Drosophila melanogaster: one gene and its partners. The protein of the gene in region 4 interacts with the protein of the main gene of each other region in a pairwise test. Each region holds a gene or a part of one and is shown on either strand. Other genes may lie near its edges.

What was found.
Region 1: the proteins of toy (region 4) and LeuRS-m interact in a two-hybrid assay, tested with the Drosophila melanogaster proteins (one large-scale study listed by BioGRID).
Region 2: the proteins of toy (region 4) and D19B interact in a two-hybrid assay, tested with the Drosophila melanogaster proteins (one large-scale study listed by BioGRID).
Region 3: the proteins of toy (region 4) and CG10431 interact in a two-hybrid assay, tested with the Drosophila melanogaster proteins (one large-scale study listed by BioGRID).

Annotation. Positions count from the first base shown.
Region 1 is NT_037436.4:4,824,075-4,829,588, forward strand, and holds LeuRS-m (Leucyl-tRNA synthetase, mitochondrial), read left to right. Parts: upstream 1-1,778; 5' UTR 1,779-1,878; coding exon 1,879-1,968; intron 1,969-2,020; coding exon 2,021-3,812; intron 3,813-3,870; coding exon 3,871-4,112; intron 4,113-4,168; coding exon 4,169-4,654; 3' UTR 4,655-4,964; downstream 4,965-5,514. Other genes in the region: Dhc64C (dynein heavy chain 64C), read right to left, coding at 1-87, 1,254-1,497; CG13708 (uncharacterized protein), read right to left, coding at 5,018-5,514.
Region 2 is NT_037436.4:6,181,641-6,186,610, reverse strand, and holds D19B (D19B), read left to right. Parts: upstream 1-1,690; 5' UTR 1,691-1,809; coding exon 1,810-2,680; intron 2,681-2,740; coding exon 2,741-4,194; 3' UTR 4,195-4,435; downstream 4,436-4,970. Other genes in the region: D19A, read left to right, coding at 1-230; CG43293 (uncharacterized protein), read right to left, coding at 845-907, 967-1,215; CG10274 (uncharacterized protein), read left to right, coding at 4,844-4,970.
Region 3 is NT_033779.5:18,972,701-18,978,687, reverse strand, and holds CG10431 (uncharacterized protein), read right to left. Parts: upstream 3,979-5,987; 5' UTR 3,912-3,978; coding exon 3,841-3,911; intron 3,784-3,840; coding exon 1,566-3,783; 3' UTR 1,492-1,565; intron 1,426-1,491; 3' UTR 501-1,425; downstream 1-500. Other genes in the region: Swip-1 (Swiprosin-1), read left to right, coding at 1-333; L2HGDH (L-2-hydroxyglutarate dehydrogenase), read left to right, coding at 4,650-4,771, 5,229-5,987.
Region 4 is NC_004353.4:988,187-992,761, reverse strand, and holds the start of toy (twin of eyeless), read right to left. Parts: upstream 3,038-4,575; 5' UTR 2,511-3,037; coding exon 2,260-2,510; intron 697-2,259; coding exon 516-696; intron 1-515.

The DNA of each region.
Region 1 (5,514 bases), on a different chromosome or scaffold from region 4:
TGTTGGTGAAGTGAACATCGTTGCTGATTTGGTAGGTTACCTGCTCCTTCTCGTCCTCGCCCTCCGCCGGCTGCTCAGAATCGTCCTCTGAAAATGAATAAGTTGGTTAACAATCGAATTTCATAATGGGCCCACCCAGTTAATACATTAAACGTATAATAAATATGGTAATAAAAAATGGTTTTTTTTATTAGCCAATTGAAATAAATCCGTTGACTTATTCGTCCATTATTGAACTTTCAAAGGAAAACTAATTCCCGTTGATTACGTTTATCATGTCTGGCTCCACATTTACCCCTCACCCACTTTCAGTGGCATTCTACTGCCCACCTGGCATTGGACTCAATGGCACGGCATTGGCATGATTTCATTATCAAGGTGTTGACCTACGGAAATTAAGCGTCCAAGGAAAAACCTTCGAAATTCGTGCGCTCAAGGCTGGACCTTGGCGATGTCATTGCTCCCGCGCTGTTGGCCCCGTTGCCAATGTCAATGTGCCGATGGCATTGCCTTCGGCCAATGTCAATGTCGCTCCCAAAGCTATTGAAGCGGCGGAAGGTGTGCGCAGCCTCCAAGGTCGTTTCCGTAAACAAACTGGTTGCTTGGCAGGTACCAGCTGTTTCCCGGCGAATTGCTTGTAAACAAGCAAAGCCGGCAAGCGGCAAAACAGCTGTTAGCACTTATCGCCCTGCCGCGACTTTCGACTCATAGTTATCGAAGTGAATCATATGTGCTGACGTCATGCGCAGAAACCCGTTTTTATACCCTCTAATGCAGTACACTGATTTTACAATGCAGTTGGTATTTACTAACATGAATTATTGCTATCCTTCTGATTTTACGATTAATTCTGAATGCACTTTTTAGCAATATCGTAATATAAAAAATAATCCTATTTTTGTAATTGAATTTAAATTTTAAAAACTGTATGAATTTGTGATGCTTGAAAATTTTTCATACAAGTTGCTAGTGACATGGTAAGGTATTCCAGCTTCGACTTCCAAGCCAAAAAATATTTCTTATTGGAATTCAAACATCTGCCAAATTGATTTTTAAAAAACTGGTTGCGTATTCAGCTAGCAAACCCATAAATGACTCAATGTAACCATATGGAACTAATATTTTGAACTTATAACAAAAAGATTGCCTGAAAAGCTTGCCAACTTTCTTATCTTCGCCAAAAAGACGCCATTTTGTGCAGGTACCATTTTTTCACCCTAGATTTGCCAACGGGACAGGAATTCTTATTTTACCTTTAATGCAATTGCGTTGGACGTAAAGCGCCTGCACCTGGGGATCCGAGAGGAACTTCCGGATGGTGTCCTGGTTGACGGGATCGTCCAGAGCATCGTTCAGCGATGCGGGAACCACATCGTCCTCCGGCAGCAAAATGGTCACCGCCTTCCGAAGATAATTGGCAAATGCATCATAGTTCGCAATGGACAGGTTCACGATTGGATCCACCGATGTATCGGGGTTCTCCAAGGAGTCACCCATGTCCCACAAAGGTTTTCGGTATTAAATACTCCTCAAAAGGTGTACAATTTAATTTTTCACAATGCCTCGCCCTGTGAAAAATTACGTGAGTTTTTTTTTTCGCAAAATGTAAACGGCCCTGCCACTCAGTTGAAAATCGAAAGCAAAAAAGCCAGTGCTACCATAGTTGCGGCAGATATCAGAATACAGAACTGGGCGAAATGTTACCAGTCAGTCAGGAATGCTTCCCGCCAAAATTTCTTAGAGCAATTCCCATCCACGTGAGCGATGTGGCAACTCGATGCAGAGAAACAGCTGTTCGATTGTAGAGTGCAGTGGGTTCTTCCTATTTTGTTATTCAATAATTGTGAAATGTGCAATTCAATCAATTAAACCGGTATAATGCAAGCACTGAGAAGAACACGACCTTGGGGAGCTGTCTACTGGAATAGCTGGCGGCGCCTGCTAACCCAAAGCTGCACCCGGAATGATGTGGGTGCATAATATATCCGAGAAACGCAATAAGACCTTTGTTAAATTCCAGAATCCAGAGCTAACCAGTGATGTCAAGCACCGGATTGAGGCTCATTGGCGGGAGCAGCTCAGTGGAGGACAGTTCAATCCCAAGGACTCGCAGGACAAGTACTACGTGCTCTCCATGTTCCCGTATCCCTCCGGCAATCTTCACATGGGCCATGTGCGCGTCTATACCATAGCCGATTCGGTGGCTCGTTTCCAGCGAATGTGCGGCAAGAATGTGTTTCAGCCAATGGGTTGGGATTCCTTTGGGCTGCCCGCCGAGAACGCCGCCAATCAGCGTGGGGTGGAGCCCGCGTCCTGGACGGAGCAGAACATTGCCCAGATGAAGGAACAACTCAAGCGACTTGGTTGCTCCTTTGACTGGAACCATGAATTGTCCACCTGCAGTCCAAAATACTACAAGTGGACGCAGCATCTGTTCCTAATGCTCCATCGCCATGGATTGGCCTACCAGAACGAGGCTCTTGTTAACTGGGATCCCGTTGATAAGACCGTGCTCGCAGATGAGCAGGTGGACGCCAACGGCTGTTCCTGGCGGTCGGGCGCCAAGGTGGAAAAGAAGCTTTTGAGGCAGTGGTTTATCCGAACGAGTGCTTATGCCAAACAATTGCTAGACGGTTTGGAGGATCCCACGCTTCGCGACTGGAGGGATATTATTAACCTGCAGCGACACTGGATTGGAGAGTGTGATGGATACGCTTTCAACCTGCTCACCTCCGCCTCCGGACTTTTACGAGTGTGGACTACCCATCCGGAGCATTTAAAAGATCCCCATGCCTTTCTCGTGCTCCGCAGCAATCATCACTTGTCAAAGCTAAAGGGTGCGGACAGCCTAAGCGCAGCGAACCCGTTTGCGGGCACCACAATGCCTGTGGTCTTTAGCGACGAAGTGACATTTCCGCCAAAGAGCGATGTTTACCTGGCAGCCCCCAGCTTCCGTGGCGAAGACAAGGATTTGTGGGATTCATATGGACTGGCTTTTACTTCAAATGGCAAGGATGAGGAATCCCTAAGTCCAGCCAACTGGGAAATGTTAAGGAAAGAGGTGCTCCAGGCAGCCACACGCCTTAATGTTGGCGGCTATCGTGTATCCTCAAAGCTGAAGGATTGGTTGATATCACGACAGCGCTATTGGGGCACTCCCATTCCTATTGTACACTGTCAAAAGTGCGGAGCAGTGCCAGTGCCGGAGGAGCAGCTGCCAGTGTCTCTGCCTCCGAAGGATTCCCCGAAGGAAGCGTTTCTCTGTGATTGCCCAAAATGCGGTGAGAAGGATGCACGAAGGGAGACGGATACAATGGATACATTTGTGGACAGCTCTTGGTACTACTTGCGTTACTTGGACGCCCAAAATTCCGAACGCATTTTCGATACAGCGCTGACCAAGAAGTTTATGCCTGTGGATCTGTACATAGGAGGCAAGGAACATGCCGTGCTCCATCTTTACTACGCCCGCTTTATAAACCACTTCCTGCACAGTTGCGGGCTTTCGCCCACTAGCGAACCCTTTTCCCGGCTGCTAGTCCAGGGCATGGTGATGGGTCGCTCCTTCCGGGTGAAGGGCAGTGGACGTTATGTGCCCGAAACAGAAGTGGAGATTGTGAACGCCAAAAAGAACCAGGCGGTGCTAAAGGAAACCAAAGAGCCCGTGGTCATGACCTGGGAAAAGATGTCTAAGTCAAAGCTGAATGGGGTGGAGCCTAGCGACATGTTTAATGAGTATGGAACGGATACAACGAGACTGATCATATTGGCCGATGTGGCGCCCACATCCCACCGCAACTGGTCCAGTGCAAGTGAGTATTAAGTTGTATATGATATGATAGCCATTTGATATATCTGTGTATACGACAGCTTTTCCTGGCATCCTTAATTGGCAAAAGCGGCTTTGGCTGACCCTGCAGGACTTCCAACAGGCTCGCGAAGATCAAACTGCTTCGGATGTTGTACCCACCAGTGAAGAGTTCCTGGCTGAGGATGCCAAGCTGTTCGATGCGCGAAACTTTTATGTGAAAGGAGCCACCTTTAACTACCGCCATGCACAGCAACTCAGTGTGGCAATTTCCAAAATGCAGGGGCTAACGAATTCTCTCAGGGTAAGGCTTAAAACTAAATCCGTTTTCTAATCTCAGCTTATGCAAAAATATTTTAGCGCACACCTAAGCATGTCCTGCGACATGGAAAACAGTTTGAACGTGCGCTGGCTGCCCAGATCATCATGCTCGCGCCAATGGCTCCGCACTTTGCCTCCGAACTGTGGTCAAAGTTTGTGGCGATACCAGGCAGGCTAAATCCCGCCAGTCAGGAGTTACAGTGGAGCGAAGATGTGCTTGCTCAGCGCTGGCCAGACATCGACCCCGCCTACAATCTGGACCTTAGCATTAAAGTCAATGGATTTGAGAACTGTGTAATCAAAGTGCAGAGAACGCATCTGGATAAGGTAACGCACAGTGATGCTCTCGACATTGCCTTCAACACCGAATCGGTGACATCGTACCTAATTGACAAGAAAATTCGCACCACCAATTTTGTGCTTTACCCGGGAATCGAGGCTATTCTGAATATCTATGTGGATAAGGCGAAAATGAAGCAAAAGCCGCCGACCACCGATGATGCAGAAGCTCAGCCTCAGGCGTAGGATAAGGAAAAAGTATCGTGAAAGTGGATAGATAAAGTTGAGTAGTAAAAGTTTGGTTGCTACTTTTTAGGATATTCTTGCGATCATAGTTCTTAAGCCGAACGGATTACGGAGGAGAGTGGGTTCAACCTGCCCAAATGCATTTCCGGTGTTGGCCAGAAAGGCGCCATCCTAGATTGGTACTTTTTAATCATGTTTAATGTTAAATATTTATAAAAATTGGACTAGTTGTAAGCAGCTGCTTTACAGGATTGGTAAATGCCTAGAATCATAGGAATATAATGGTTGCTCTACCTGTGCGCCTCTATCTAAAAGCCAGATCGACTAATAATTTCATAAATTTTCATTTGTTGGAACGGCCTCTCACTTCAACAGCTCGCACATGAGATTCCGCAGGTAGACATCTAGCTGGGCGTAATCCAGCAGCGTATTTCGGACGATATCAAGAAGCATACTTGGCCAAAGAGTTTCCAGTTTATGCAGCTTCTCCACGGCGTTGCAAGTGTTCTCCAGCAGAAGGGCAAAGTGCTGGCGACCTCGATCTCGGACACTGGGCGCCATGGCAGTGCTTCCCGCTTCCGTCCCTTGATTTATATTCATTGAGGTGGAAGTTCCTGCTCCACCACCAGCGTTCTTCTTCCACTGGAGTGCCTCTTTTCCCACCACGAGTCGCAGGGACTTGTTGTCCGGCCGTAGGAGCCACTCTTTAGGAGACAGTTTGCTGGCCGTGCAGGTTTCATCCAGACGCAGTCTCGCCAAAAGCGGTTGCAGCATTACCTCGGGCATGGACCACAGAACCAGGTCAGAGAGTCCAACGTACATGGCATTCGCAGCCTCCACTTCCGCTTCGGTTACCTCCT
Region 2 (4,970 bases), on a different chromosome or scaffold from region 4:
GGGCAGCGGCCACCGCTGAGCTGCTGGCGCACCAGCTGGAGGAGAACGAGGCCAAGCGGAAGGCGGAAATTGAGCGGCAGAAGATCGCGGCGGCGGCCTGCGAGCAGCTGACGAAGCTGCAGCAGCAGCAGGAGATCATCAAGGCGACCACCTCGTACGATGGCTACTATGCGCAGAAAGCGCAATCCGAGGGCACCAGCCTGGATGCCCTGAAGATCGACCACGTCTAGGCAGCAGGATTGGCTTTACTTTACTAGCATATATGCATCATAACCTAGCCACATCCATATGTATCCACTTCCAATGCAGCTGACACTGTCCGGAAAAGTTGTAGGCATGCCTCGAATTGCTCTCTAGCTGGATCAGATTGTAGGTTTATAGGCACTCCAGATTATTCGAGTGCATATTACAATATGAACACTTCATACTTTTTACGTACTACGTTTATACATACATGCAATATATGTATTATTTTGTTTTCCGTGTAATATCTCCCGTGCTTACTTAGAGTAATGGATTAAAAGTAATATTCATAACGCCATTGGAGTTTCCATCTGGTGGGCGGGACTAAGAGACCACTTTGCAATACCAGTGATTTTTACAAATATATTTTAATAACAAAAAACAAATTTTTTAGCCCGCAAGAACATTAATCAAACCTTAATTTAATTAAAATAAGTCATTTTTAGCTGAAATCCATCTGGATGGTTATGCTGAATTTTATTTCATATATTCCGTTCTTTAAATTTAGACAAATAAAGATGATAATTGATTTTTAATCGAATATTAAGAAACATTTTGCTGAACGAAATGATGTGAAAGGGGGATTTTACTGGAAAAGTTTCTATTCTGCATCCACGTCGAAATCTTCGGATGACCCTTCATTGTCTGAAGGATTATTTGACTCCTAAAACAAATTGGTTAATCTTATGTAATACATCTTTAAAACTTAGTTGATGACTTAACTGTCCAGTTATTACCATCCGTCTGATTCAAATCCATCAAACTTGAGATAATTATCTTAGCTGCCTTCCTGTTTTTGTTGGCCTTCTTCAATGCTATACTCTGCTTCTCCAGGACCTCCTCCAACTCTGCGATCTCCAGTTTAAGCCTATTTCTTCTATTCCCGGCATGTTGCAGTGCCAGTTCAGTGTCCAATACCTTAACTTCAGCTTCGAGAGCTTTTACGGAATCCTTGTCTGGTTGTTGCTCCATTTTTTTTTGTATACTCTTACTCAGCATGACAAATAATAATAAAGCTGCTATAGAAACAATTGATACAACCATATTTATAGACATACCAACGATTTAAGGTATTTTGAAAATCCTTAAAAAATTTATATTTGTTTAAAAATGTATTTAATATTTAAACTAAGACATATGTATTTTTTATTTTAAATTCTCAGACTCTTTGTATTGTATTGATCTAGTGCTAGTATTGTGCTCGTAGCTGTCCGGCAGTCTCACTCGACTGTGTGACTTGACTACGAATACACACACTCGCTGGGTCTAATACGCCCATCGTACCCTCTCCGCTGCGCACATGCATGTGAATGGGAAAAACAAAACAAAACGCCTGAGTGTGGGTGGCGAGTGCTAGAGCTGCGCAGTTTTTCAGCGAGCGTACTCGTCGCTTGCGGGTAATCGATAACCCGAATTGCTGACGAGTGCACACACACACGCACACGCGAGTACACACAAATGTGTGTTGTATTGGATTTTTTTCTCGGCGAAAGAACATTTCGAATTGCTGTGGTTTTCGCGATTTCTGGCTTTCGGGATCGTCCAGCATCGAATTGAGTGTCCAAAATGAATGAGGAGAGCCAGTACTCCATACACACGGTGTGCCGCACCTGCCTGTCCACGGTGGACGACTCGGCGGCCTACGATCTGTTCCGAGTGCCCGGTCTGGCCAAAAAGCTGTGCGTGTGCACCTCCTTGTCCGTGGAGCAGGCGGATGGCTTTCCCAAGAACCTGTGCAATGTCTGCTTCTCCAAGCTGAACGACCTGCACGACTTTCAGAAGCAGTGCGTCGATTCCGTTCAAAAGTTCCAAGATCTGGTGGCCAGCAACGCGTTCGCCTGCCAAACAAACTTCGATGTTCTGGACACCAGTGCCGCTGTGGCGGATCTGCCGGGCGAGGAAGAGGACAACGTGCACTTCGATCCGCTGCTCAACTCCAAGATCGAGATCATTGAGAACGAGGAGGACGTCTTCAAGATGCTCGAGTCCGTCGAAAAGGAGGTCGAAGAGGTGGAGATGGAGATGGAACAGCCGTTTGGCCGAGTATCTCAGGATGACTCCTTCGAGAGCGGCAACGACAACGACCTCGACGCAGACTTCCAAATCAGTAGTGACGACGACATTCCACTGGCCCAGCGCAGCCGGCGTGGAGCCACTCGTGGTTCCAAGGCGAAGGGCAAGCCGAAGTCGGCTGCCAAGCGACAGGAGGAGGAATCCGAGGAGTCCGAGGAGACCAGCTCATCAGACGACTCCGATGGCAATCCGAAGGACAAGCCCAAACGCAAGAGGATTCCTGCTACGGAGCGGGATCGCCACCGCCTGATTGACTGCCACATCTGCCACCAGAAGTTCAAGAAGGCGATTCGCTACGAGGAGCACATGAAGCATCACAACGACTTGCTACCCTTCCAGTGCACCGTCGAGAGTTGCCGAAAAGGTAAACTCCGCCCGCAGATCCTCGAGAAGTAGATTTATGTGATTATTTTTCCAATTTCAGGCTTTACCACCGCCAATGGACTGCGCGTCCATGTGGAGCACGCCCACACGGAGACATCGGCTATGCATCCGTGCACCTACGAGGGCTGCAACAAGTCCTTTGCCCGGCCCGTGCTGCTCAGCTTCCACATGAAACGCGTGCACAAGGTGGACACCCCGCAGAGGGACTTCCCCTGCACGGAGTGCGAGAAGGTCTTCCGCTGCCCCACTGCCCTCAAGAAGCACATGTACAAGCACACGGGCGAGGAGCTGCCCTTCGCATGTGAAATTTGCGGCAAGCGCTTCCCCATCAATAGTGTGCTGCGCGACCATCTGCTGCGCCATGCGGGCATCAAGAACCATGTGTGCCCGTACTGCGGAGTGGGCAAGACGACGCGCCAGGAGTGGAACAAGCACATCCTTACCCACACGAAGGAGAAGAAGTACGAGTGCCGGCAGTGCGACCACGCCTCCCACAACAAACAGGCGCTGGCCAACCACGTGAAGGTGGTGCACGAGAAGCGCAAGGACTTTGCCTGCCAGTACTGCGGAAAGACCTTTGGCAAGTCGCACGCCTGCAAGATTCACGAGAGAAGTCATACCGGCGAAAAGTGCTGCGAGTGCAAGATCTGCGGCAAGGTGTTCCTCTTCGAGAAGGGCCTAACCAAGCATTTGAAGACGCACGAGAAGCGTGATTTGCCCAAGACGCAGGGGACCAATGCCTTAATGGGCGACGGGGCCAGTGGATCCTCGACAATAGCCAAGCCCAGTCCGCACCTGCGTGGTCGCGTCGAGCGGGTGGACATTGCTCAGTTGGCGGGAACGGTGGCCAATCCAATTCCATCGGTCAACCTGCCCTCGTGGTCGCCGCAAGTGAACTTCACCAAGAAGGAGGGCCAGCATATCTGCCCGGACTGCGGCAAGGGCTTCAATCACGTGAGCAACATGAAGCTGCACTACAAGGTGGTGCATCAAAAGGTCAAAGACTTCTGCTGCCGCTTCTGCCCGAAGAGATTCGCCAAGAAGCAGTACCTGCGGCACCACGAGTACATACACACTGGCGAAAAGCCTTACGAGTGCAAGGTGTGCGGCAAGCATTTCCGGCAGGAGCAGGTGCTCAAGACGCATATGAAGGTGCACGACAAGCCGCCCCGTCCGCCTGGCAAGCCCAAGGAGCCGGCTGGACCCAAGGCGGAGTCCAGCACCGCGGTGAAGCGCCAGCAGCCGAAGAATTTCGAGCAATACCAGGATCCGGCGGCGGAAAGGGCAGCGGCCACCGCCGAGCTGCTGGCCTACCAGATCGAGGAGAACGAGGCCAAGCGCAAGGCGGAGGCGGAGCTCCGGAAGATCCAGGAGGCTGCCTTCGAGCAGCTAAACAAGCTGCAGAAGCAGTCGAACACTTACGACGGCTTCTACGCGCAGAAGGCGGAGGCGGAGGGCACCTCAGTGGACGCACTGAAGTTGGATCATGTTTGAGCGGCAGAATCAAACGGAAATGCTTGCGAGCAAACCCGGCCTCCGTTTCCGATCATTTCATTATGTGTTTCTATGAAGGACATATGAGTTATAGTTCTCTAAGGATTACCAACTAGTTTTCGTCACTTTGCAATTTGATCTTTTTTGTATTTAAATCCCCCCTTTAAACTGCTTAAGTTTGTACTTTACTAATTGTATTCATTTAACAATGATTTAATATAATAAACAGTAATAAGTATTGAACATTTGAATTTTAAATTCGCCCCAGTGCTGGTAAGCGGGTATTGTTGGTAAACAAGACAGAGGTGAGCTGTAATGCTGCCAACTCGTCTGTTTTTTAGCTACATTCCACTAGCTATGCAACTTATATGAGACACATATAAAACTACGTATTTAATTTAGGTTAATACATACATTTATTAAGAATCACACTTAAAATGGCACATATTTTTTAAAACATTTGAAATTTGTTATTGATGCTATCCATATTTCTAGCCGGTTTAATAATTTAGCTATTAAATAACTGTTTGTACTTGGCATCACTGTGGGGTATTTTTTGGTATTTGTTTTGGTTCGTCTGACGCGTAAAGTTTTTCTCGGCTTAATATTCCGCGGATTTGGCCAGCAGATTCCCCCTGGAACAGGCATCATGCAGGAGGAGGCCGAGGCAGCCCAGTACTCGGTGCACGCGGTGTGCCGCATCTGCCTGAATCGCCTGCCGGAGAATGGCGGCGGCGCAGGATCCTTTGACCTGTTCCTGATACCCGGATTGGCCA
Region 3 (5,987 bases), on a different chromosome or scaffold from region 4:
CTGGGACTCAAGCAGATGATTGCCGAGGTGGACGAGGATAACGATGGCAAGATTTCATTCCGAGAGTTCTTGCTGATCTTCAGGAAGGCCCAGGCCGGGGAACTGGACTCCGATTCTGGGCTGAATCAGCTGGCCCGCCTCACGGAGGTCGATGTGGAGCAGGTGGGAGTGAGCGGAGCCAAGAACTTCTTCGAGGCGAAAATTGAGCAACAGCTGCGGACGAACAAGTTCCACGACGAGATTCGGGCGGAGCAGGAGGAGCGCCGGCGAGAGGAGGAGGAGCGGGCCCAGCGGCGTCAGCAGTTCCAGCAGCGGGCAGCGATCTTCCAGTAGAGGACTTAGGTTCGCCCTTAGTCTAGCGAGTAATTATCTGGCGTAGGTTAATCGAATGTGGAACTAATCCCGGGAGAAGAGGATACGCTTCGTACAAGCATTTTTCAAGCATCACATACTCTAATTATATTCATACTTATCGCCCCATACATATAAAAACTCGATTTGCTGGCAAAAACATCTTGGGAATTGAATGTTATCTTTGACTAATGTTTGTTTTGGATCTTTGAAGTACCCATCACAACTTATCAAGTAACAAAATATAACGTTCAATTTCTAATATATATTTTTTTAAAACCAACCAAACTGAGCCACTCTAGCCAGGGACATATGCATACATACGTACATTAATAACGATCATACCAAAAGCGTATTTATAGTTAACCTTTAGTTAAGTTTAAAATGTTTTAGATTAAGAACTACTTTATTGTTTGGTGTTGCGCAAAATTTCATTGTTGAATTACGTTTATCCTTGAGGGTTCTCCAAAATGTATGCTTTTTACTTTATGATTTTGTACTTTTAGTGCCATTTTTATGTTCTTCGTTTTAGTTTTGTTAAAAATAAAATTGATAGTTATATTAAGCAAATAAACTTGTGAAATTCAACCTTCTTTGTATATACTAATCCTATGTTGGCAGTCAATCTTAGTTTTTTGCTTGGATCAGCCTAAAGTAAAACAATAAGTTTCGATTCAGTATTTCACGTTTAAAGTTAGCGATTTAAGCAATACTAATGCGTTAAATACGAATACACAAGAAAATACACGTACTTTTAGAGAACGTTTACTACAAACTTATACTGCAATTTAAATAAATAAATGTATATAATACAAAATATTTAAGATCGCCTTTAGTTTTCCCCCTTTCAACCTTTTCAAAAATGTTGTTCCGATTTGCGAAACCTCGTTCCTGCTCAATGAAGCGTCGGTTTAATTAGGTTAAATTACTTATTGTAAGTAACCTTGACTAGCGCCAATTTCATTCCCGCTGCGAACCCTTCATCACCTTGCGTGCCGTACTGGAAGACCACCAACTAAGTACCCCATAGAGTGACTAGGCTTAATGCATTTAGTGCATCGAGATTCAGATCATCTGTGGAAAGAAAATTGTAGTGGCGTGTTATCGCACATTGTTTTTTAGAAAACAAATTGGTTTTACCTCCAAGATTATAGCATTTGCTTGAGTAAATACCATTTCCTTGTCCAATCGTGAGTCATCTCCAGGGCTTCCTGTTACTCCCCGGCAGCTGGACCTTTTCGCAGGGAATGCCTGCACCTCAGCATATCGCATTTCAGGGCGTAGCGATGCTGGCAAACCGGACACTCATGCGGCTTGAGCTGCAGGTGGTAGCCCTTAATGTGTTGAGACAATCCGTTGCGTCGCTTGAAGACCCGCTCACAGATGCCGCACTTGTGTTGCCGCTCCGTCGAGTGGGTGATGTTATGCTGGCGTAGTCCGTTGAGCGAACCGAATGATTTTTTACAAATATTACACTCAAATACTTGGGTGGGCGTAACTTTCTTTTTCGAATTCATTGCCGTCTGCACCTTAGTTTTGGATTTTTTGGGCCTGCAATTGAGTTCATGACGACGATACAGGCGCCAGTGGGCAAAGGCGATGGCCTGGCAGTGGCGACACTTGAAGCTCTGAAGGCGCCGATGGTTTTTGAGCGACAACGATTGACATATGTATCGCATATGCTGGCGAAGACCCAAGCGGGATCGAAAAAACTTTAGGCAACCAGAACAGCGTCCTGAAAAATTGGGTATTAACTTTACAAAGTGTGCTTTCTGACGACGGTGGTGGTGTAAGTTCTTAAACTTTGAAAATCCCTTCCTGCACATCCGGCACACATAGGTTTTTCTGTGCACCTTCCTTGGTGACTTCAGTTTTTTGCATTTCAGCTGCAACTTACGATACCTGTTAGCCAGTTTAGCGTAGCTAGCAGTCACTGCAACCAGTTGAGGATCAGGTGCGGGTGCTGACAGTTGAGTGGCTGTCGGTATAAGGTCTTTGTGATGCAGGAAACTACTCTGCATATCTAGTATATCAATCTTTTTCCTAGGTTGCTTGGATACAGGACTATTATGCCACTCCAACGGCCAGTATTCGGATTGTTCAGTGGCCACAAGACCTCTGTTGCTTTCCATTTTCATTGGAGGGTTCATGGTTAAGCTGGGAAGGCATATATTCATCGGAGGAACACTAACCATGGGAGTGGAATTACTGTGACTGTGTGCATAATGCTGATTTAAGCTATCTATTGTTATAAATTTGGCAGTGCACAAAGTGCAGTTGTGAAGCCGAAAAGCCGCTGAGGATTCGACCACACTATCGTTAAGTACCACGATGTTGGGTTTGATCGACGTGGGAGGAGCAGGCTGTGGCAGCAGCTCGCAGATCATTGGGTTAGGTATCTGGCTTACATTGGTCACAATGGGCTTGCATGAGCGCGGTTCGGGGGCCGAGGGAGGGTCTATATTATCCTGAAGAGGAGGGGGATCAGCAGGCGGAGGAGCTGCGTCTGGCGCAGCATCCGTTCCCTCCACCTTTTCCGTTTTGTACTGATGCGGGGGTAGTTGCCACTCCTCCTTCGCATAATTGTGCTCTTCGGTTAGGAGTTCGTTTTGCAGCATTTCATTAGCCGTTCTTCCAGGCTGTAGTCTCTCCGACTGTCCCACATCCGCATCGTCTGGAATATTGATAAACGGATCGTCCAGATTGATTATCTCCATGATATCACAATTGTTGATAATGTCTTGGGCATTTAGCATAGGGAACTCGCAGAACTGAAACTTTTGTTCAGTTTCTTCCTGATCGCAGCCATCGTCCTGCTCCAAACCCATGTCCAGTTCATCAGGAAAAAGATTGTCCAAGCTCTCGCAGGCCTCCTGTTTCACACGAACCAAGGGTTCCTGTTTGATTTTCAGTTGTCGGCGGTATTTTCTTTGCAATTCACTCTGCGCCAACATCACCACATCGATGAACTGGGAAAAGCGCTCCAATTGGAGGCAGCACTCCTGGCATATTTCCTTGGGCAAGGTGTCGTCCTGAAGAATCTGTAGCGTAGGAAAGCACTTCTGGATCATGCCAAAGAGCTCAAAACTCTTGTCAAACGAGGAGCAATTGATGGCCGAGGAACCACAAAAGCGGCAAGTGGCTTTAACACCTGTTGCTGCTGATTCGGCGGCACTAGAAAGAGTTTGCTTGTGCGTTGGCCTATTGCTTGGGGACACCTGTTCCAAGTGCCCACTCATGGAGTCATCTTCCGAAACCCTAATTGATGGCACAGCATTTTTCTTAAGCGTTTTCCGATTATTGCTGCAATTAAAGTCCTCATCACCAAAGTGCCGACTGCACAGCGCACTCCATTTTGAGGGCATCCACTGAGCACTCCTCTGGGTAAATTCCTTCCATTTCTGTAGAAGATCCTTCCGTTTGAATGGAAATCTTTGGGAGAATAGAAGCTATAGTGTAATCTTGTCAATTGAAAATCAACTCACTTACCTGTGAAATGAAATGCTGCCCGCGTGCACATACTTATGGCTGCAATTTATCACGGCGCAGTGGGCGGGCATCTTAAGGTATTTATGGTACAATAATTTGTAATAATTTGCAAATTTCTGTTGTTTACATCTGTGAGCTAGCTGTTGTTTGCTAAATCAGCTGGTTTTGTTTTGCTTCTGAAGTGTTCAGTGTTGGAAAATGCGTCTCACATATTGTTGATAGCGGTCTTTTTTCTTGCAGTTCTGAATTAATAACGAAACTTTATTCATTTGTGTTTGCTATCAAATACGACCAAATATAATGGGATTCCGTATCGAATAAAAGCAAATTTAGGGTTAAAATTATATGTTTGTTTCTTGTAAATACTTTTTAGTCGAGTAATCAGCATGATCGTATAACCTGAAATATTTAAAATGAAATAAAAATTTTAATATTGTTAGATTACAGAAAATTTGCAAAATGGCAGCTGGGCACATTAAATCTTATCAACAAACCGAACAGCTGACACACACGTCCTTACCCAACCACCCCCTTTCAAAAATAATCCGTCACACTTATCAATTAGCGCGTTTATGATCGCCCCTCGGCCCCACAAATCGCCCAGATGCTCGGCCCGTGAGCATATTTATTTTCTCTCGCCCCACGGAAAACTTCCACGGGCTTCAGTCTGTCGATTCGCTCGAAAGCGCGCTGTACGCACAAGTTGGCGGAGGAGAAGGCAAGGTCAAGCAAGGTCTTTCTTTTCGGGTTGGTAAATAATCTAAATTCTACGTGCGTGCGCGGGTGGTGAAAGCATAAAAGAAAGAGAAATGGCTCAGGTGCGACTGCTGGTACAGGGACTTCGGCGTAGCCTACTCAATGTGGGCGTGGCCGCGCCCAACGAATCCACAGCGACCCACAAAAGATCGCAGCACAGCTCGTCGAGCTGCGGGTAAGTCTCTTGAGATTACGATAGGGTTCTCTCATTTTCGGGGGTGTTCCGATCCTAAGAATCTTTTCACTGTTTGCAGAATATCATTTAGGTGTTCCAAATGAGCTAAGTAAGCTTCTTTTCATTTAGAATGCGCTTTTAAAATCATGTTTAGTTAAGCAATGTATATTCTATTTACTTTTGTATTCTTAATTGCATAGCATAGTCTTTTCACTGCAATCTGCAGCCTTTATCTTACTTATTAGTTCCCAAGATCTCGACGTTCTTGCGGTCTGACAGTCGATGAACATATTGATATGGCTAGATCGACTTGACTGATGATCCTAATCAAAAACGTGCCCGCACACTCTTTACTCTAACGGATATACAAACATCTTTCTAACTTTTAAAAACTTTAGAAGTCTTAAGTTTATTTAATTTTTGAGGCTGTTAGCTGATATGTTTTGTATTCCCTCAGAGATTATGATCTGGTTGTCGTTGGTGGTGGCATCGTCGGCGCCGCATCTGCCCGGGAGATTGTCCTGCGCCATCCATCCCTCAAAGTGGCTGTCCTGGAGAAGGAGTGCAAGCTGGCAAAGCACCAGAGCGGCCACAACTCCGGCGTCATCCATGCTGGCATCTACTATAAGCCTGGAACCCTGAAAGCCCGCCTTTGCGTGGAGGGCATGCATTTGGCCTACGCTTATCTGGATGAAAAAAAGATCCCGTACAAGAAAACCGGGAAGCTAATTGTGGCCACGGATGAGAAAGAAGTGAAGCTGCTGAAGGATTTGGAGAAGCGTGGCATTGCCAACAACGTACCGGATCTGCGAATGATCGAAGGCAGCGAGATTCAGGAGATCGAACCCTACTGCCAGGGAGTGATGGCGCTCCACAGTCCGCACACTGGTATCGTTGACTGGGGATTGGTTACCGAGCATTATGGTCAGGATTTCAAACAGTGCGGTGGTGATATCTACCTGGACTTCAATGTCAGCAAGTTTACCGAGACCAAGGAGGGCACCGACTACCCAGTGACCATCCATGGCGCTAAGCCCGGTCAAACGGTTCGTACCAAGAACGTATTAACCTGTGGCGGTTTGCAATCCGACCTGCTGGCTGAGAAGACTGGATGCCCCAGAGACCCCCGCATCGTGCCTTTCCGTGGAGAGTATCTGCTGCTGACCAAGGAAAAACAGCATATGGTCAAGGGTAATATTTATCCGGTGCCGGATCC
Region 4 (4,575 bases):
TACGAGTAACTGTATCATTAATCAGAGTTTTTAAGAGAACAGGAAAACAACTATAAATAGCTTAAAGCTATAAGGCTCTATTAGAAAATTCGTTTGAAACAATCTTCCAGCTTTAAACTTCTAAAATTTTTAACTTAAGACAGAAAGAGAGGTACAGACTGGTCCTAGATCCATCCTGATCATGAATATACATATATATTTTTAAGGATCGAAAACGCTTAAAATGGTATGTTAGAACTTTTATTAGTCAGATCAGAGTTTTTAAGAGAACAGGAAAACAACTATAAATAGCTTAAAGCTATAAGGCTCTATTAGAAAGTTAGTTTGAAACAATCTTTCAGCTTTAAACTTCTAAAATTTTTAACGTAAGACAGAAAGAGAGGTACGGACTGGTCCTAGATCCTGATCATGAATATACATATATATTTTTAAGGATCGAAAACGCTTAAAATGGTATGTTAGAACTTTTATTAGCACGTGCAGAAATATTATTATGTGCGCAAAATATAACTTACACTTGGAATGTTATCACTATTGCAAACTTGTTCCGATAGCAGTCGATCTCGTATTTCCCACGCAAATATGCTGGGACATTCCCGTTTGTAATCTGCAATTTTTTGCACAACCGGGGTTGTAGCTACTCGTGGCTTTGAACCACCTATAGCTCGAGGTTTTATCGATCCAGTTTCATAATATCTAAAAAAAATAAACTTATTTACATTTTATCTGAGTAGTCATTAAAAGTAGATAATAGAATAAACAATGAATATACAATCAATTTAGATTTGGCTGTATATTTTCTTATTTTGCAAAGAACAGAGAATTTAAAAATACGTTCTTCTTAAGATATGATTTTGATTTTTATGTATTATGATCATAAATGGTGAATGTGTTTCAATAATCAGAGTCACACAATGAGAGATTGGGATGGGGGCCTGATTTCAAATTTTCATATTACGAAAATCATTGATTTTCTTACTCTAAAGTATTTATAATAGAACTGCTAATATCTGATTAGTTCCAATTATGTAACTTAGTAGTCGAAAGCCGTAAATATTCTCGGGAAGAGCAGTGCTTATAGTAAAGTAAAAAAGGACATTCCTCTAGTATTGATTGAAAAATCCTCTTTCCAAAATGTTAGATGAGCACAAAAAAACAATTCGGAGTGCAGTGCTTGTAAATGCGAGCTGCAACTTGTAAAAAGAAAAGCGCAGCGATTCATTAGTGGTGACAATGCTAAACGCCGTCGAAATGTTTAGCGTCGAGATAATAAAAACTATAAGCAAACCTCAGCGTCAACAGTCAACACTTTCAGTTGTAGACATTAAATTAGTTAAATGCAGCCGGTATATAAATATTTTGCGAATGGCATATAGGATTGAATATAGAATATATGCTAAACAAAATAACATAAGTATTAATTAGAAGCCAGGGGAGAAATGTATTTGTTAGTGTTGTACAATGGACAGCACTTGCAATACGGACACCAATAACGCCGTAAAGAGGTTCTTCCAACAAACAAATTTGGCTACTCGCAAAACAGATGCTAAGCAAGTTCTCTTTAATCATACGCAGTCTTACGATCATTGGTTAGTTGATACGAAATAGACTAGGAGGCATTCGGATCTTATGCATATAGAAACTACTGAAACGTTAGTAAGGCCATTAACTTACCAAAAACAGAGAGAATGCTATAGTCGAATTCCCCGACTATACGACTAAATACGAAAGCAAAATTGTGTTATTTTTCTGGGATCCGTTTTTTGCGTTTTGTTGGTGTAAGAAGGGGTGTGGCGAAAGTGTTTTTGGTATACCGATAGAAGACAAACAATAAAACGATTAAAAATCAACACTTTTTTTAAAAGTGTTGGCAATATGGGTCAACAAACTTGCGCTACGTCCATATCTCTACAATCAGTATGCCTAATTCCAACCATCTAGCTTTTATAGTTCCTGAGATCGAGACATTCATACGGACAGACGGAATATATACATACTTCATATGGTCGGGAACGCATCCTTCTTCCTGTTGCATACTTTTCAACAAATCTAATATACCTTTTGACTCTTTGAGTAACGGGTATAATAATCGAATCTTTCATATTTTCCAAATTTAATATCACTCCCTGGTTTAAACGCAGTGCTTATATAATAAAGTCCGAAGTCAGAAATTTTAGCTGAGCAGTTTGTTTGTTGGAGGCTACTTTCGTAGTTCCTGTTTAGTTAAGAAAATGTCATTATGCACTCGAAATGCCTCACCTGCCCAAAATTTTGCTTACGCAACCGTTGGACACTTGTAGTATTCTTGAAATATCACAAGGACGTGCGCCGGAATGAGCCAATTCGACAATTTTTTGACGCGTTGAATCGGGCAGTGGCCGGCCATTAACATATACGCCGCCCAGCTGATTTATTCCGCTATGGCCCGCCGTGGAGCACCCAAATAGAGTACTCTGCCCGACTGACGAGTGGGGATGCCCATGCATTATGTGTTCAGTTGTTAGCATCATAATTAATTATTTTTAATGCGGCGTTGGAGACTTCGACGGTGGCTGACGTGCGTATGTTTATTATTGAAAGTGAGAAAGTAGGATTACTCCCTTTTTCATTGTTGTTAGAAGGGGGGCTTCGTTGCCAACTTTGTACATCCCATATATATTATCTTCTTCACCTGGTAATCAAACTCCAGACTATCACTTCAGACGTTTTAACATTTATCACTTTTTACTTGCCAGGATATGAACTTTCACTTTATGAGTTTTGTTTTAAGTGTGCACGATGGAAAGCGTTAAAGTGTTTTAAAACTGTATCATAGATCGTTTATGAAAATGGTCCCGATATTTTCCGTCGAAAGTACGGGTCCGCAGCCCGGCGGCAGCGCCACGGATGGCGACCTAGTTTATTAATCTGGGAATAATTTGCATTCAAAATGATCGAATAGTGACGTAGGTATCGGTTTAAGCTTGAACAAAAATTTCTTTTGCTAACTGGTTTCAGTGACGAGGTGCGCACTTAGCCAAGCGAAACGTTAATGAGCTCTCATGCGAAAAAACACTGGCAAGAGCAACGGCTAACACATCGGCCAGCCATTTTGGCGGCGTTGCTCTAGTTGTCTCTTTTCATTTGCAGTCAGCGATAGCTAACAACGTTGCTGTTTTCCGTGCCGTGAAAAGAGATAGCTATAGAGACATGAGGAAGAGAGGCATTACAACAAAATCCATCGTGCGCACATCTGGCAAATAGGAGTTGCGTAGGAAAGAGACGGCTATGGAAGAAAGAAAAGTGTACCCTATCCGCTTGAAAATCTTTTTGAAGTTTTGGTTGGTTGTTAAATATATCGTGGGCAACTTTAACATTATGGATTCAGCGATAATAACGCTGGAAAATAAAACTGAATTTATATAAACATAGATGGTTGTGTATATGTGTAAGTCTTATTCATCATTGTATGCATATGTTTGGTTGTGATGATATTTTATCATGTTTAATGCACTTAATCCCTAAAATATTTGATTATATAACCATGTATCCAAAAGTTTAAGAATCTGATCATTCTGAATAACATACAATCTAATCGTTTGCCATACCTTTGTTTTAAAAAAGTATAGAACGACTAGTTATTTATTGCCCTGTATCAATTCCCCATCTTTACGTTAAGTATTATTATATTTCTGATGTCGGTTGTGTTAATATACAAAAATACATTCACATATAAAAACTATGAGTGCATTTTATTAGTTTTAATTTAAATTTAAAATTGAACAGCAATAAAAACGTATTCAGGAAGGTCAAACAGTATCAGGAGTTCAAAATGCCTTGCCTTACCTGTAGCGTGATCTGCGTGACTTGGGCTTGAGATGAAGTTTGTATTGTTAACTTTAAAGAGTATTTAGTATTTGTAAATTTTTTGTTGTATATCTATACAAAATATTAAATATGTAAATACATAAATTGTCTGTTCTGCTACTTCTGCTTGTATTTACATTTTCGATATCTATTATTTACAGAAATTAAACCCCCAAGTAACAGCATTCAAAACCTAAACCACCCCAAAAAGCCACCACTGAGCTTACTTGCTCTCAACATCCTGTCCGACACGTTTTTTGGATTTTTGAAGTCACACGCATCAACGAATCTATTTCCCCTTCCACCACAATTTCCATTATTGTAGTGCCGGCATCCAGTGTGCTGGGCTTCTTCAAAGGGGCATATTCTTGAATCGCCTTTTTGTCATTCCTATTGCGTGTGCCAAAAATTTCATGGCGCATTGTAAAGGTGACGAATCTGATTTTCCTGGAATGTGTGAAAATACCTTAATTTATATTATTTAGCGTAGTGTCTGGGCTGCAACAAATGCATATAACCATTAAATTTTGCACTCATGATATTTGATTTTTCTTGCGTACCTACTTACTAGTAGAGTCTCTATCGATATGCTAAACAATAATTTAGCCACGTCTACTCTAAAGCCTACATTTTGTTTGATGTTTTTTTAATTTCAATATCTTTATCAATGTGTAAAATAGAATGTCAGAAGGAAGCGCCTACATAAAGTATCTGTATTCTTGGTCAGGG